Macaca fascicularis: one gene and its partners. The protein of the gene in region 1 interacts with the protein of each later gene in a pairwise test. Links are inferred from orthologs where the notes say so. Each region holds a gene or a part of one and is shown in the gene's direction. Other genes may lie near its edges. The genes, in order: USHBP1; CCDC24; keratin, type I cuticular Ha8.

Region 1 (3,651 bases):
GGTGTGGTGGCACGTGCCTGTAATCCCAGCTACTCAGGAGGCTGAGGCAGGAGAATTGCTTGACACAATTCTGCAGCTACCAGGGAGGCTAAGGCACAAGAATCGCCTGATCCTAGGAGGCAGAGCTTGCAGTGAGCCGAGATCGCACCACTGCACTCCAGCCTGGGTGACGGAGAGAGACTGTCTCAAAAAAAAAAAAAAAAAAAAGCCAGGCATGGTGGCTCACGCCTGTAATCCCAACACTTTGGGAGGCCGAGGTGGGCAGATCACAAGGTCAGCAGATCGAGACCATGCTGGCTAACACGGTGAAACCCCATCTCTACTAAAAATACAAAAAAATTTAGTCGGGCGTGCTGGCATGCACTGGTAGTCCCAGTCCCAGCTACTCGGGAGGCTGAGGCAGGAGAATTGCTTGAACTCAGGAAGCGGAAGTTGCAGTGAGCCGAGATCCCGCCATTGCACTCCAGCCTGAGCGACAGAGGAAAACTCTCAAAAAAAAAAAAAAAAAAAAAAAAAAAAAAAAAAAAAAGAAAAGAAAAGAAAAAGAAAGAAAACTGAGGGTGGTGAGATCAGGCCCTGGGGTGGCAGCATGACTAGCCTGTTCAAGGAACCCGAAGGACGCCAGTGTGGCTGGAACACAGGGCGTAACAGGGAGAGTGTGGGGAGCCAGAACAGAGGGAGGACAAATGCAGATGGCGCAGGGCCTCGTGGGCTGCAAGGAGGCACTTCACTTGGGCTTTGCTCTGATTAAGGTGAGAGCCCCGGAGGGTTCTGAGCAGAGGAGGCCGTGCTCGACGCAGGTGTTCAGAGGCGCCCTCTGGTGGCAGAGGTAGGAACCGTCTGAGAGGGTGAGGGTGGACTCTTGGAGAGCCAGGAGGTGACTTCACTGGTCCAGACACGCAGGATGGTGGAGGTTGTGGAGGCGGAGAGATGCGGACGGATTCTGGGTGATGTGGACGGATTCTGGGTGATGTGGACGGATTCTGGGTGATGTGGAAGATGGAACTGACAGGTGTGAGCATGAAGGCTAGAGAGAACTTCAGGCTTTGGGACCTGAAGCACTAGAAGGGAGAGATGGAGGAGCTACAGGGTAGGCAGGTTTGGCTGGTGGTGACCAGATCTCTTTAGCCCTTGATAAGCTCCAGTGCCCATGAGACATCCACGTGGGGTCCTCAAGGGAGCAGCTGTATGTCTGAGTCCAGGGCTCAGGGGAGACAGCAGGGCAGGAGGGAGACACTTGAGCATCCTTAGCATGTAGGTGGCATTTAAAGCCATGTGGCTGCCGGGTGCAGTGGCTCATGCCTGTAATCCCAGCACTTAGGGAGGCTGAGGCAGGTGATCAACTGAGGTCAGGAGTTTGAGACCAGCCTGGCCAACATGGTGAAACCCCATCTCTACTGAAAATACAAAAATTTGTCAGGCATGATGGCAGATGCCCATAATCCCAGCTACTCAGGAGGCTGAGGCAGGAGAATCACTTGAACCCAGGAGGCAGAGGTTGCAGTGAGCTGAGACTGTGCCACTGCATTCCATCCTGGGTGACACAGCAAGACTCCATCTCAAAAATAAAAATAAAAATAGAAAAGTCATGTGGCTGAATGAAGTATTGAGAGGGAAACCCTCATCTCAGGCTGGTAGGAAAATTCGAGGCTATGGGAGCCCAGTCCAGGGATTCATTTTCCTCCACAGTGGGGCCCATTTTTCTGCTGGGAAAAATAAAATCCTCAGCAGCTGGCAAACATTCCCAAGGTCAGATAGTGAGATTTTTGGCAGGCTAAGTATCCAAGCCTCCTGCCTTCCAGCTAGGGTTCTTGCCACTTCCCCAAGAACAGGCCTTGGGGAGGGAAGGCTGGTGGTTGGTTTCAGCCCCTAGGCCTGACATTCCCCCTCATCCTTCCCAGGTTCAGGAGTTGCAGAATTCCCTCTTGAGGCTGGAGCCCTTCCCACGTCTTTCCCACAGCCAAGCAGGTGGCTCAGGCAGTGGTTCTACCAGCTCTGAGGCAGACAGGGAACCCTGGGAGACTCAGGTGAGTGTGAGAAGTTCAATCCCATGGTCTTGATGTCCTTAGTCTTCAGGGGGATGAGACTCAAATCTTTGTCATGGGATCCAACAGCTTCTGGGGTTGCAAAATGCCTACCATCCCAGGCTCTTGGTGACAATTGGGGTCAATTACATCACCTGTTCTTGGCAGGACTCCTTCTCCCTGGCTCACCCCCTGCTTCGGCGCCTCCGCAGCCATTCCAGCACCCAGATCCTTGGGTCTCTTCCCACCCAGCCCCTCAGTCCTGAGATGCACATCATGGAAGCCCAGATGGAGCAACTCCGAGGGTAAGAGACTCAAATGCTGAGCTCATAAGGGCACAGGCACCTCCTCCAGCTGAGTTAGAAGGCCTGGAGTCTGAAGCTGCAACAGGAGGGAGGGTAAGGGTGGAAATTGAGGCCTGACTGCCTTAGAAGGCCTCTGACTTTCCCTCTTCCCCACCTTCGGGGACAGGAGCATTGAGAAGCTCAAATGCTTTAACCGTCTGCTATCGGCTGTGCTCCAGGGATACAAGGGCCACTGTGAGGGCCTCAGCATGCAGCTAGGCCAGCGGGAGGCTGAGGCCACAGCATTGCATCTGGCCTTGCAGTACAGGTCAGTGCACCCTGCCAGTGATGTCACCAGCTGGGGAGGGAATGGGCTTTCTGAGGATGGCCCCAATCCACAGAACCCTCACTGGAGAGCACCTTCCCCACTTCAGAAATTAATTTTTTTTTTTTTTTTGGGACAGAGTCTTGCTGTGTCACCCAGGCTGGAATGCAGTGGCGAGATCTCAGCTCACTGCAACCTCTGCCTCCTGGGTTCAAATGACACTCATGTCTCAGCCTCCTGAGTAGCTGGGATTGCAGGTGTATGCCACTATACCCAGCTAATTTTTGTATTTTTAGTAGAGATGGGTTTCACCATATGGGCCAGGCTAGTCTCGAACTCCTGACATCATGATCCGCTCGACTCGGCCTCCCAAAGGGCTGGGATTACAGGTGTGAGCCACCTTGCCTGGCCCAGAAATTAACTTAAGGCAATTTTAGTTCAGGGTTGGTAAGGGAGTCTACATGCTTCCAGAGTTGAGGACAGTGGGGAGAAGAGGAGTTCAGGAGCAAGTGGGGACTGGCACCTATAGAGTGAGATGTAGCTAAGCATTTTTTTTTCTCTCTTTCTTTTTTTTTGAGACAGAGTCTAGCTCTGTCACCCAGGCTGGAGTGCAGTGGTGCCCTGTTGGCTCACTGCAACCTCCACCTCCCTGGTTCAAGCGATTCTCCTGCCTCAGCCTCCTGAGTAGCTGGAACTACAGGTGCGTACCACCACACCTTGCTAATCTTTGTATTTTTAGTAGAGACGGGGTTTCACCACGTTGGTCAGGCTGGTCTCGAACTCCTGACCTCAGGTAATCCTCCCGCCTCAGCCTCCCAAAGTGCTAGGACTACAGGTGAGGGCCATTGCACCCAGCCAAGCTGAGTGTCCTGAAGCACTCAGAACCAGTGTCCCATAGTGAGCACTGTGAAGAGGCATACAGGGTTCTTCTTGCTCTGCGGGAGGCCAATTCAGAAGCAGGAGACGAAGCCCCCACGAGTGACCTGCAAGCAGCTGAAGAGGAAGCATGGAGGCTGCT
Region 2 (3,751 bases), on another chromosome or scaffold:
TACAGACCATTTCCATCCTATCTAGGTTTACCAAGATTCAAAACACGAAGCTGACCATGAAGCGGGACGGCATTGGGTCAGTGCGGTACCAGGTCTTGGAGGTGTCTCGGCAACCACTCTTCACCAATATCACAGTGGACATTGGGCGGCCCCCGTCGTGGCCCCCTCGGGGCTGACACTAATGGACAGAGGCTCTCGGTGCCGAGGATTGCCTGCCAGAGGACTGACCACAGCCTGGCTGGCAGCTGCTCTGTGGAGGACCTCCAGGACTGAGACTGTGGGCTTTGTTTTCCGAGGGTCTTCAATAGGCCCCCTAGCTATACCTGGAAGTTTCAGAACCCACTTTGGGGGCCTCCTGCCTGGGCAGGCTCTTCACAAGTGTGGCCCTCTTTGGAGTCAACCCTCCTTCCTGACCCCCTCCCCCTAGCCCAGCCCCAGTCACTGTCAGGGTCGGGCCAGCCCCTGCACTGCCTCGCGGAGTGGCCTGGGCTAGGTCACTCCACCTCTCTGTGCCTCAGTTTCCCCCCTTGAGTCCCCTAGGGCCTGGAAGGGTGGGAGGTATGTCTAGGGGGCAGTGTCTCTTCCAGGGGGAAATTCTCAGCTCTTGGGAACCCCCTTGCTCCCAGGGGAGGGGAAACCTTTTTCATTCAACATTGTAGGGGGCAAGCTTTGGTGCGCCCCCTGCTGAGGAGCTGCCCCAGGAGGGGACCAGAGGGGATGCTGTGTCGCTGCCTGGGATCTTGGGGTTGGCCTTTGCATGGGAGGCAGGTGGGGCTTGGATCAGTAAGTCTGGTGCCCGCCTCCCTGTCTGAGAGAGGAGGCAGGAGCCCCAGGGCCGGCTCGTGTTTGTACATTGCACAGAAACTTGTGTGGGTGCTTTAGTAAAAAACGTGAATGGAGCAGCTCCCTTGTCTGGGGGTGGGGGTCGGGTCCCTGAACATGGTTACCCTGAGTGTGTTGTGGTGGAAGGGCACTTGGCCCAACAAGTAAACCTGATCCGGGCCATGCTGGTTCTCGGAACGCTGTCACTCCCTAGGCTTCTATTGGCCTTAAGGGGAAGTTTGTCCTTGCACTGCTTCCGGGCCAGTGGAGGCGACGAAGTAATAAACCCGTGGACCCAGATTTCTCAGGTCTTAACACGTTCCCTGAGGCCTAAAGGTGCCCAGGGCCGAGCCCAAAGTGCCTGGGGTCAGGGCTCGGTGGAGCACTAAGTCTGAACTCCCAGCCTGCAGGCGCCGCCGCCGGACCACACACGGGAGGGGGCGGGGCCTAGAGTCGCGGCGCGGTTTCCCGGGTGATGGCCACGCGGAAGAGGTGGGGCTAGGGCGCTGGTTCCCACTGCCTGGCTTCTGGGCCCGCGGCATACGAGTTGACCAAAAGCCTGGCAGAAGAGCGCGCCAAGGAATGGCGGTTCTGGACGGGGCAATCCCAGCTGAGGGGACCGGCGGCAGAGCATGGGTGGGGCTTGGAAGAGGGCGGTCCTCATAGAGGGGCGGGGCTTGGTGAGCGTTGCCGGCGGGCCCGCGGTACCTCCCGCGCTCTGACCTGCGGCTTGTAGGTCCGAGCTGGGGACGGCGGCGCGGGTGGGTCATGCTTCGTCACTCCCCCTCGCTGTGGGAGCTGGTGGAGGAGCACATTCCGCTCCGGGAGCGACCCGAAGTGAAGAGGATTCTGGGGGAGGCGGCGGTGGACCTGAGCCTGGAGCTGCGGGCGGAGGTGGGGAGAGGGAAGGTGGGCCACGCCCCTGGGTGTGATTTCCCACCTCCTGCGGGTCCCTGGCCCTGCCGGGGAACTCCCGAGATCCTATTGGGTCTCACTGTCCTGGCCCTCTCCCCTTTGACTCTGTCCTCTCCCTCACTCCCCCAGCCCCCACCATTCCGGTCACTCCCCTCCCCAGTCGCAAGGTATCCCAGCTCTCCTTGCAGGTGGCGATGTTACGGGCACTGCTCCAAGAGGCTCGATCCTCTCAAGCCCCCAGCTCCCGCCCCATCTCTGACCCCTCTTCTCTTCTGGCACCACCGCCTCTCCTAAAGGACCTCTTGCGCCAGGAACTCCGGCAGTTGCTCCAGGGTCTCCACCACAAAGCCATCTGTGAGGGCAGGTGGGAGCCTCAGGCCTGGGTCCTTTCCCCAGATACCAGGTGGGCTAGCCCTGCCCCTAACAAAGAGCCAGGGTTGCCTTTTCTGTGGTTTCCAGAAAGGAGCCTCTCATCTTCCTTCCTGTGCACCTTCTGCAGGGACCAGGCCCAAGCTTGGGTCCAGTATAGCCCCAGGGTCCTGCACTTTGCCTTGGAGGAGCCCAGGTGTGATTTGCCAGAACAGGAGATATTCCAGATGAGAGGTGGTAGGCCCAGGTAAGGTGATGGTAGGAGAAAGGGATCTGTCCCTGCTTGGCAGAGGGCCCTAGCCAACTGGTGGGTTGCACCTGGCTCCATGCAGGAGGTTCCAGTCACGGGCTGGGCACTTCCACCACCACTTGTGGTAGAGATCAGCACATGAGGGCTGCCGAAACCCAGAGGAAACACCTGCCTAGCCTGGGGACAGGCAAAGCTTCCTGGAGAAAGTGGTTTGATCTGCGTGTTGTCGTATGAGGAGCAGTTTTCAGGGAGATGAAAGAGAGAAGAGCTTTGTAGGAAAAGGGAAGAAAGTCCAGCAGGCGATTGCTCCTCTGGCCTAGAGAACAGGAGTGAGGGCTGGGTTAGGGAGGCAGGGAGAGCTAAAGAGGATGGCTACAAATGGTATTTACAGCTGGGACTGAATGAGATAAAACATTCATAAGTGAATGGCAGCAACTTCTTTTTCTAATCCTCACACAGCCTGAGGTGGGCAAAGTCTGCACTTTGCACAAGAAGAAATTAAAGGCCGGGCATAGTGGCTCATGCCTGTAATCCCAGCACTTTAGGAGGCTGAGGCAGGAGGATGGCTTGAGGCCAGGAGTTTGAGATCAGCCTGGGCAACACAGGGAGACCCCATCTTTACAAAAAGTGAAAAAAAAAATTAGGCGTGGTGGCACATGCCTGGATTCCCAGCTACTTGGGAGGCTGAGGTGGGATAATGGCTTGAGCTCAGGAATTTGGGGCTTCAGTGAGCTATGATTGCACCTGTGCACTCCAACCTGGGTGACAAAGACCCTGTCTCTAAAAAAAAAAAAAAAAGAAGAAGCCTGGGCAACATAGTGAGACCCCGTTTGTGCAAAAAATTGAACAGGTGTGGTGGTGCACACCTATAGTCCCAGCTACTCAGGAGGCTGATGTGGGAAGAGCACTTGAGCCTGGGATGTCAAGGCTTCAGTGAGCCAAGATGGTGCTACTGCACTCCAGCCTGAGCAACAGAGCACAATCTTGTCTCAAAAAAACAAAAAAACAAAAAGAAAAGAAACTAAAGCTCAGAAGGGATAAGTGCTTTGTCTGAAGTCACACACAATGAAGGGTGGCAGAGCTCATTTGCAAAACTAGGCTCCCAAACTCTTACTCTTTGCACTATATTATATTGTTTTTGTGAGAAAAGAAAGACAGTTGTCTAGGAGAAGTGATGTTTGGGTCCTGAAGGCCTGGGGTGAGCAACATGGGGAGAGTAATAGTGACTTCATTGCCAGCAGTGGTCACAGAGATCTCAGCATCATCAAGGACCAACTGAACGTGTCCAACATTGACCAGGTGGCCAGACATCTGAGGTGAGGCCCAGGGGCACCTGCATGTGTGTAGGCAGGGGTGGAGACAGGGATGGATCTTGGCATGCTGGGATTGTGAGAG
Region 3 (2,387 bases), on another chromosome or scaffold:
GAACCAGGAGTACCAGGTGCTGCTGGACGTGAAGGCTCGGCTGGAGAATGAGATTGCCACGTATCGGAACCTTCTGGAGAGCGAGGACTGCAAGTACGTGTGATCTGGGCAGTTCCTGGCCAAATCATTTACCCAATTCTCATGAGGTGTTCAGGGCAGCAGAAGGGCTGTCTCTACATAGAATGAGGCTGTCTGTGCACTCCTTTTCAGTGAGTCATTGCTCTGTCCTGCACACTCCATGTGGTTGACAGAGTGAAGGGAAATGTCCATCCACTGTTATTTTGCAGTAGGGACCCCTTCCTTATGCCCCCACATGGCACTGAGACCCCATTCATTCCTTGCCTCTCACTTCCCTCACCTTGTTCTCTCTGCAGACTCCCCTGCAATCCATGCTCCACGCCTCCCTCCTGTGTGACCGCCCCCTGTGCTCCTCGCTCAAGCTGTGGCCCCTACACCACCTGTGGAGCCAGCACCACTGGAAGCCGATTCTGAATTCCTGTGGACCCGCAGGGGCTGGCTAAGGCGAGGGATACCCAAAGAGAGATGCTTGTTATACCTCTAGAACATTTGGCTTCTAACTTCCTGTATGTATAGGCCTGTCCAAAGGCTAGGAGATACCAGGGATGGTGGAAACTTGATGAAAATCCTTCCTTTCCCGCTCTTGGTTTTCCCAGGTGAGCTCTATGCCCTCAGTGGCTGGATTGCAGCCACTCATGGTGGCTCAGAATATCTGGATTGGAGAGGCATAAGGTTGAAAAGCAATTTGGAGTAGGAATACGGCATGATTTAAAATTGCACTTGCACTTCAAGAACACCAACTTTAACTTGAATTTTTTTATAGTTTATGACAACGGAAGTGAAGAACAGACTTTACTGTCTGAGATTCCCACATCTCTTGGGTTGTTTCTAACATTGCCAGCCTGGATTATGGCCCCAGGGAGAGGGAAATAGAACCAGATTTGTACCTGACCCTGTCTTTTCTAATTCCCTTCTTCTATCGTCCTGCCTCCCTACCTTGGAAGCTGATTAAGTGGAAACTTTCCTTGTATCAAATTCTGAGTCTTTCTACTTCAGGGGTTCTAGCTATGACAAAGGACCAGGCTTGCCCCTTCTGTGGCAACACAGCCTCTTACATATGGCTTCCGTAGCTTCTTTCTATGTGAAAGGAACGTTCAGATTCAGAAATTTTTCTTTTTTTGTCTCTATAAATTCTGATTCTCAAGACTTGTCTGGCTATAACCCCTGTCCCTGTCTAATTCTTCCGGTCTAAAATCTGAACAATGACTTCATTTTTTTCTAGTATTTTCTCCTGAAGTATTGAAACCTATTGATTTACGGGTAGAGATTTGCTAAGTATGACGTGCTTCCACCTCTTGTCTTCATGCTCTCTACCTTCCTTACCACGATTCAGCCACACTGGCCTTTCTGTTCCTTGGACATGCCTGGAGACCTGTCCCTGCTCTTCGTTCCCTCTGGGGTGCTCTTCCCCCCCCTTATAAATGTTCAGGTCAGCTGAAAGTTTCTTTCCTCTGAGAGCTCCTGTTTGGTTACCAGCCTAAAGGACTCACAGCCCTGGCACTCTGTCCTGCTCATTAGCAACGCCAACAGCTGAACTTGCCTCTGTATCTATTGTTTTCCCAATCAAAATGCTTACCCAAGATTAGCAATTGTTCATTTCTGCATCCCCAGAGCCTAGCCCACTGCTTGGTACACAATAGATGCTTAATAAATACCTGTTGAAAGAACAAACACGTCTAGTCCTGACTTTATCTCTGACTTGTTGTGGGGTTTTCGAATCATCACTTCACACACCTAAGCCTCAGCATTTTTTTTCTCCTGCGGTAAAACAGGGATAATGTTATTGTTCATACTTATATCTCAGATCTGTCATGGATTCTAAGATAACAGAAATAAAAATACCTTGAAAAGGAGAAAGCACACAAAGAAACCTCACCTGGAGCCAGTATTGATTGTATAATGTTTAAGGAGTGCAGAGGCTGACCCACATGGCCAGGTTTAAGGGCCACCCGTGACCTCAGGCTTCTTCGTACAGGCAGGTAAATGAATTTCCTCTAGCATCTAAATTTAATCAGAAACAAAATGGTGCACATAATAACTTGCTTCCCAGAGCAGACTGTATTTGAGTATTTGCATTAGGCTAAAGAATGAGAAAACTTTGCTTTGAGGGGCAGAACCTTCTTAGCAACTCCTTTCTATTGAGACCATCCAAGGGGAGAGGACCCACTTTCATGGGTGATGTTGTTTCCATTTTTCCCCTTTGGGTTCACCAGGGTTAAAGTGATGCGAGAACACACCTGAGTCTTGTGAGGCACTCAGTAATTCCAAGGGCCATTATGATCCCTGCAGAACTTCAATTTGGAGACTCC

The links.
Region 2: the proteins of USHBP1 (region 1) and CCDC24 interact in binary tests that used the Homo sapiens proteins (3 or more experiments, as listed by UniProt). The two-hybrid records come from large-scale screens. The link is inferred for Macaca fascicularis from reciprocal best matches to the Homo sapiens genes USHBP1 and CCDC24.
Region 3: the proteins of USHBP1 (region 1) and keratin, type I cuticular Ha8 interact in binary tests that used the Homo sapiens proteins (3 or more experiments, as listed by UniProt). The two-hybrid records come from large-scale screens. The link is inferred for Macaca fascicularis from reciprocal best matches to the Homo sapiens genes USHBP1 and KRT38.

The regions. Positions count from the first base shown.
Region 1 is NC_088393.1:17,579,840-17,583,490, reverse strand, and holds part of USHBP1 (harmonin-binding protein USHBP1), read left to right. Parts: intron 1-1,901; coding exon 1,902-2,027; intron 2,028-2,192; coding exon 2,193-2,329; intron 2,330-2,495; coding exon 2,496-2,636; intron 2,637-3,531; coding exon 3,532-3,651.
Region 2 is NC_088375.1:190,767,772-190,771,522, reverse strand, and holds the start of CCDC24 (coiled-coil domain-containing protein 24), read left to right. Parts: upstream 1-1,484; 5' UTR 1,485-1,590; coding exon 1,591-1,716; coding exon of another isoform or gene 1,717-1,731; intron 1,732-1,866; exon of another isoform or gene 1,867-1,925; coding exon 1,926-2,140; intron 2,141-2,236; coding exon 2,237-2,353; intron 2,354-3,594; coding exon 3,595-3,672; intron 3,673-3,751.
Region 3 is NC_088390.1:62,484,285-62,486,671, reverse strand, and holds the end of keratin, type I cuticular Ha8, read left to right. Parts: coding exon 1-93; intron 94-374; coding exon 375-492; 3' UTR 493-1,749; downstream 1,750-2,387.